Daphnia pulex: one gene and its partner. The protein of the gene in region 1 purifies or fractionates together with the protein of each later gene. This does not show direct contact. Links are inferred from orthologs where the notes say so. Each region holds a gene or a part of one and is shown on either strand. Other genes may lie near its edges.

What was found. The genes of interacting proteins can lie anywhere in the genome.
Region 2: the proteins of calcium homeostasis endoplasmic reticulum protein-like (region 1) and splicing factor 45-like purify together in Homo sapiens (co-immunoprecipitation; 4 studies listed by BioGRID and IntAct, counting the BioPlex papers as one, with this or other methods). This does not show direct contact. The link is inferred for Daphnia pulex from reciprocal best matches to the Homo sapiens genes CHERP and RBM17.

The regions. Positions count from the first base shown.
Region 1 is NC_060023.1:8,902,364-8,906,117, reverse strand, and holds the start of calcium homeostasis endoplasmic reticulum protein-like, read right to left. Parts: upstream 2,317-3,754; 5' UTR 2,203-2,316; coding exon 2,178-2,202; intron 2,116-2,177; coding exon 1,676-2,115; intron 1,618-1,675; coding exon 1,326-1,617; intron 1,259-1,325; coding exon 511-1,258; intron 428-510; coding exon 8-427; intron 1-7. Other genes in the region: uncharacterized protein LOC124197929, read left to right, coding at 3,673-3,754. UniProt on the Homo sapiens protein: Involved in calcium homeostasis, growth and proliferation.
Region 2 is NC_060018.1:8,645,412-8,648,814, reverse strand, and holds splicing factor 45-like, read right to left. Parts: upstream 2,526-3,403; 5' UTR 2,325-2,525; coding exon 2,211-2,324; intron 2,147-2,210; coding exon 1,906-2,146; intron 1,831-1,905; coding exon 1,737-1,830; intron 1,660-1,736; coding exon 1,236-1,659; intron 1,162-1,235; coding exon 987-1,161; intron 919-986; coding exon 821-918; 3' UTR 787-820; exon of another isoform or gene 698-786; 3' UTR 505-697; downstream 1-504. UniProt on the Homo sapiens protein: Splice factor that binds to the single-stranded 3'AG at the exon/intron border and promotes its utilization in the second catalytic step. Involved in the regulation of alternative splicing and the utilization of cryptic splice sites.

The sequences.
Region 1 (3,754 bases):
TGGTTACATTTCTGAAGGTGGCGTGGGGCTCCGCTTTTGCGCAAAACCGGTCATCGTGACGGGCGAATTAGATCTTGATTCCGAACGACTAGGTGTAGGAGAACGAGAGCGTGCAGCTCGACGGGGCGACTCTGAATTAGATCGACTTCGGCGACGTCTTGTTGAATTTCTAGGCGATCTGGATCGTGATCGAGCTTGCCTCGATTCTTCTCTATGCTCTTCCTCGGGCGACTCACTGCGGAATCTTCGACGCACGGGACTTCTGATTCCATTCTTACCACTTCTTTCAGGGGAATGATCCTCGACAACTTCGATAGGAGTTCGAGGCGGCGACATGTCGCGTAATCCCTGAGCAATATCTTCTTCTTTCTTCTTTTTCGCAGTTGCCTTGTTCTTATAAAACTCGAAAAGAGCCATCTGCTCCCACCTAAAAAAAAAAACAAGAAAGAGAAAAGTTGAGAAGAAGAAGCTTGAATGATAAGCCAACAAGAAAGGAAATCTATCACGAACCCATCTGCGTTTCGTGGTCGGTCGTGCGAGAGAGGACTGTAGAAGAAATCAATGGCGGCAATCAATCGCTCAGACGGTGGGAGCGGTGCAGGAAGGCGGATATCTTTCGGATCGATGCTTTTGTACTCGCTGTCTTCCATTCTCACCAGTGGGACGAGTAATCCCGCTGGTAAGTCGAAGTAGGGAGCCTTTGGTTCAATTCCTTCACACGGGTAGTTTTGCGGGGCATTAAGGGAAGCAACTGGCGGCGGGCGAGATAAGAAATCCGGCGGCATGGCGTGATGAGGTGCATTAAAAGACTGCAAAGCATTGGCCGCCGCGATTTGTTCTTCAATTTGCAGTTTCTGTTGCTCTAGCTGCTGAATCTGGTGGTTGGCATGATTGACGAAGGCTTGATGCTGGCCGCGGTAGTTTTCGTACGTATGCTGAATGTTGCTAGTTGAAGCTGCTACGGCTGCCGAGTATTTGGCCACTAGACTGTTGTGGTATTCATTCCAGATGTGTAAAGGTGCGTGTAACCTTTCCAGGACACCACGCTCAAACAAATTATTTTTCGTTTGCCACAAAACGACCAGTTTTTGCAATTTGGCGTTTTGCTCCTCGTCGGTTGCAGACAGACTAGTGTTTGAAAACATGTGGACGACAACTTGTTCGAGTGTCTTTAAAAGCGTGTCGGGTCCTTTGCGGAGACAATGGTGTAACACGTCGTTGACCAAATAGATCAAGTGAAGTTTGTGGGTAAATTGACCTGTTGATTCAGAAAGAAAAAAAAATGCTCAGGCAATGCCAAGTAGCCACAACAGAGGAAAACTTACTGCTTTGAGTTGTTTTGAAAAGGAGATATTGTGCTATGGCATCAGAGGATGAATGAGGCTGCATCACATGATGGAGAATCCAAGCTTTACCCTGAGATATGGATTCTTTGGTGCAAGAATCCATGATAGGCAGTAAAAGCAATTCTAACTCTGCCAAATTCATTCCACTTGCCAACGCTTTTTCCATGACTTCTTTTTCGTGTTGCAACTTGACTGTTTCCTCTGTCTGCTTTTTCTGCTGTTGCACTGTCACTTGATGTTGAGCGGCCAAGTTGCTTTCACTTTGTTTGATCTGGTGAACCAAACCAATTAGTATTTACTATTTTTGATATGATCTGGAGTATGTTTACCTGTTCCTGCAGTTGAGTTTGTTGGGCAACGAGTACATCTTTTGCACCTTTTAAAGCAATCAAATCTGTTTGAGGAGGGATGGGATTTTGTCCAGGAAATGACATCTGATTGGGCATTGATGGCTGTGGGTGAGCCCTAGGCCATGCAGAAGAAGGGCCATAGTTGTAATTCCTATTGAAACTGGGATGTTCTGTATTAGGCGGTGGGCCATAGTTGATTGGATAGCTCATGGGTTGACTTTGCTCTCGGACAAACTTTTGCTTGTTAATTGCTTGCTCTGTTGTCACACGGTACTGGTAGTAGTTGAAAAGTTCCCCACCAAACAGGAAACCAAACTTGGGGTTATCTCGTTGTTTGTTTTTCGTCATTTGCTCAAATTCGGGACCATTTCTCGCCACAAATTGAGCTAACTTGTCAATAATGTTGCGCAGTTCTATGTCTATAAAAATATTTGTTGTGAACAAATTGATGAGGAGATTTTTCAATTTAAACGGTTATTACCTTCGGGAGGACGAGGTAGATCCATTGCAGAGTTTTATGTTTTAAAACTTTAATTAAACTTTAGGCAATCAAAAACACACATACATATGCAACTGTGAATTGTTTCGATGCCGGCATTAATAGTTCGTGTTGAATTCCGCCAGAGTCTAGTAAACGGTGCGTTTTTGCTAAACTAGATGGCGTGAAGTTCGGTGCGAATAGTAAATTCCCTAACGTGTGACAAGAATTTCAATTGGGGAAAAATTTCTTGTTTGTATACATCGAATGCAGCTTTCCATATTTATGAGTATATGCTTCTTTGTAATTCAAACTCGTTTTCCACATAATTAAAGGTTGATATGATGTGTTGACGCGTTAAGTTCCAATCTCTTTCCTCGTCTCGCTGGGGGGGAGTCTGACTCTCTCTCTCGCGCTGCAGGTCGTGTCATCACACGCAAAGTAATCGGTCAACCAACAATTACAGCAGTAGCACACATGAATAGATACATCAACTCTCAAACGGACAGTTCGCTTTTTCTTCGCTATTTCAAAATGCGTTCTTGGCAGGGTCCCAATCGAACGATGTGTCGCAACAAAAGACACACCAAATATCATAACTCTTTGTCCCAGATGAACTACCTCTTTTTTAATATGACAGTGTTTCGGGGCAATGATGACCAGTGGAAGACCATTTTTTTCGCCTGTTCTTCTTCCTATTTCCGTTCTCGACCGTTCGGGTAACATAATAGCTTGAGTGGGCGGCTGCGAATGCCAATAATATACATCAGCAGTGTGTGTGTGTGTGTGTGTGTGTATGCGAGTGTGTGTGTATGGCGCCCAAAATAGTAGCACACTGCATCCAACTTGAGCCAAGTTTTAAAATATTTGGAAGCAACTGCGAAAAAAAGGGCGAACACCAGACCAGAAAGAAAATGAGAAGCGCGTCGTGTAGGAAAAAGAAAAATTCAAACTAAAAACAAACAAATTTGCCAGTTTTTCGTGGGCAAAGTTAGTCGGCGATCGGGTCGTGAGCAAATCGGCCGCATACAAAATCTTCTTCCTTGTTCTAATATTAAAATAATTGGAGGAAAAAAGTCGTTGGCGTTGGAAAGAATTCGACAGATTGTGTGTGAATCGAAATAAGTGTATTTGTTCAAGTGGAAATGAAATAACCCAAAATATTTTTGACTGATTGTGTAAAGTGCTCTTTCGTTTCAATTTGATCCAAATCATTCAAAACAACATTTTATTTCTTCCACTCGATTTTCAGAGATCCGGAGGGAGGTCCAGTAGCTCGTCGAATGGCGCCGAGATGGTTGGGTGTTGTGTTTGATTCATATGCCAAAACACGAGCCCTTTTTTGAAAAAAAGTTGACCTTCAATCAACTTCGTATTCCGACGTTGCGGAGTGAGAGGAATGAGATGCGAGTCTGGCAGACGATAGCTGAATCGTGAGACGAGGCATGCGTTGTGCCACATTGGCTGCCGGGAAGGCTCGGATTCCGCTCGGACGACCATGTCAGTCAAAGCGGAATTGAACGACGAGACTAAATTCATGGATCTAAGTGCCATCGGGTGCAGTTTGTTACTGGAACAGC
Region 2 (3,403 bases), on another chromosome or scaffold:
AATAATAATGGCAATGACAGCTGACCTTGTTCTCGATCATGTTGAGACATGAACGATTCACGAAGAATTCTTTCAACATTATGATATCATAGGAATTTTGAGGCAAGAAGAGGTTCCCACTTTGCGTAGCTATTTCGAAGAACTACATATACTCATGGTTCTTGGAAACCGGATTATACTATTTAAAAAATACGTTAACGTCGATAGATCGTCCCCTATAAAATATTAACCTCATTTTTATATGAAAGTGGTTTAACCTACTGAATGTCACTTAAAAAACACTTAAGAAAAGAACCAATTTTCATGAAATTTTTTATGATTTGGAAACGGGATATATATATGGAAACCTACCGCCAAGTTTCCGAATTCAAATCTATACTTTTTTTATTACTAAATTCTAAGCATCCACTAGAAGTCTATTACTGATTTGCAGCTACGCTTGACAACTCAAATTTTAAAAAGTAGAATCTACCTTTTGATGAAAAATGAATGTAGTCGTGAAAATCAAAGTAAAGTAAATCTATTTTACACTTTGAATGTAGAACCTTGCTTGATCAACACATTTTTGTGCAATTCAATTATTTGTTCTGGTGTGATATTGCGAGGACACGCTAGCTTGTGAAGTTAGAATTTGTTTTGCTTCGTAGTAGTTTAAATTCATCTCTCTTCATCCCTTTTAAGGAATCAATCTTATTTCCTAGAACGAGAGAAAGGTTTTTCGTCCTAAAGGTCAAATGCTTCCAACTTTTGGGAACAACGCCATACCATGTAATTAAATTCAATTACTTTCGATTCGTAAAATTTATTTTTCAATACGTGTTCAATCATTCAGCTCCATCTTGAGAAATCTTTCCACATCATAGAATCCGGCTTTCACCTGCCGACCAGCAAAGAATCGGCCGTTGAGATCAATTACGGCTACAAAAAGAAACGACAGTTAACAATTTTTAACAGACCTGTGTTATTGTTCAACTGTAGTTAATTACCTTTGATGGCAGCTTCCATTCGTTTAAATTCAACAAAAATCCGTACAGCTTCCTCTTCCTCGGCGTTAGGTACCTCGAAAATAACAACTTTATTCACATCCCCGTATTTTGTCTGACATTCCTCGCGTACTTCGGGTTCCAAATCAGAATCCACTTCACCAGGGCCAACCATATTCTAATGAAAGGGGAAACAAACAAACAACAGAATTTGAAATGAGGACCGTGAAAATGATTGACCTATGACATTACCCTCAGATAAATCACTTTTGAAGGATTCTTCATGATATCAGCAATCGTTAATTCCGCTTTGGGAGCAGCTGTTGGCGACACAACAGGTGGCGGAGGAGGCATAATTTCTTTTTCATTGATAATACGTCCACCTCGCTTGCTTGTTTTTTCCACTTGTAAGGCAGCTGCAATACCTTGCTGTTGTCGTCCAAGTCCCTGACCTTCTTTGAATCCATATTTTGCCATGATCTTAGCAGCAACACCAAGAGCTCCAACCCCACTTCCAGTAGAGGAGAGAGAAGGATGAGATGGCGATGAGTTGTCTTGTAATGATGGAGGTGGGGCAATGGCAACTCCACCAGAAGTAGAGGACTTCTTCACCATTGGTTCCTCTTCCTCATCATGTAAACGTCCAGCAAAACCTGATCCTACAGCAGATGAGGACCTAAAACATGAAATGGTTATGTAATCAGTTTCTATCATCACCATATTTATTAGGCAGCTCCCAGTCCCATTATATACCTGTCTCTGGTTTTAATATCTCGATCATCCCTAGGCTTCCTTTTCTTTTCAGCTTCTTCTATTTCAATTTCAATCCCTCGTCGTTCCTTTCTCTCTAAACAAAAAACAAAAAAAAAAACAAAAATTATTGTATTCAGATTTTTCATTTTCTATAAAAGGTGCTGTGTACCCCTAATGATTTTGTCATAGTCAGTAGGATGCAGTGGATCATACTCTAGATTTGGGTCCCATTCCAATTCAGCAAAGAGTGAGGATCTCTCTTGTTTAGGAACAATAGTTGTCAAGAGTTGGGGTGTCTGATGAATCAGATTTTTGGTCATTTCAGGTTCAGTTTTTATCTGTGATTCAGTAGCTGTGAGGCAGGGTGGTATTACAGGATGGATAGCTCTTCGGATACCTTCACGTTTTGGCTAGGAAAAACAAATCTTTCTTCATAATCTATGAGTAACAAATGAAATGTAAATTGTAGGATACCTGTGTAATCATAGCTTTCTTTAAGTGCATCTGCGAATGTAAAAGCTTGATTCCTGACGACCATCCGGTGACAGATTTAGCTTTATTTTCGTCGATATCATCGTAAAGAGACATTTTCACAGCAAAGTAATTTCTTATATCCGTTGAATTAGTTGTCGTTCAAATCGTTTTTAAACAGAGCTCAGGACGCCTTCGCAGTAACATACACAAGAAATAAAAATAGACGACGAATGCAAATTGTACTGTATTTTTTTATGTTTTGATGTATTCATCTCATGAAAGGTGAAGGTGACTACTAAACAGCTACCTAAATCTGCAGTGAGGAACCAGGGGGCAGGGGCATGCCAGGGCCCAGCAGGGCCAGGGCCCAGGGGTGGCCAGGGGTGGCCAGGCACTACAGATACAGCGATACTACCCTGTTTCTACTTATAAATAATTGAATTGTTTTTTTGTCAATTAAACACCTTGCTTTTCGGATACGGAATAGAAAATACGGAGCTTCTCCCAAAAAATTGCCTCCTTGCGCATATCGTTGATTTTTGATTGTTTTGGGACAGGAATATTTTTGGGTCGGCCCTTTTACGAGTTACGACACCTCCAAATGTCGCCACAGTTGTGTGCCGTTAATTGTATGCGTATCTATATTATCGAGCGGACGGACTTGTTATAAGAGGTGTCTGTGACGAAGAATCAGTGACGAGAAAGAATAAAGTTATTTATATCGCAAATTCCAACAATTGGTTTGTGAGAAGTCACTGTTTTTCTGCAATAAAACTCAACGTGGCTACATCTTGCATCTGAACTTTCTGTAGCACCGAACAATAATTATTTTAATACTATTTTTAAATTAACTGAATTTAACCGAATCTTTAACGCTTCTTTTAAGAATCATTAATAATGATGCAGACACGTGTATTACTTCTTGAAAACCGGTAGCTATTAAACTTAAGCCGGGCGGAGATTACCGCCTTCGTTAGAGAAAACGAGACGACTTCTCCGTAGAAGAAACAGAAAGAGAACAATTAAAATCACGGAGAAGGAAAAGAAAGAAGAAAAGCGGCTGAGGAAAAGTTCTAAAAACGTGATGTAAGCTATTGTAGCTGAATTTGAAAGGAAATCTTGGGACGGTAGGGAGAGACATCGATTCCGAGTTACGACTAGATCATGGGCGTTTCGTATGAGTTAACCCAATG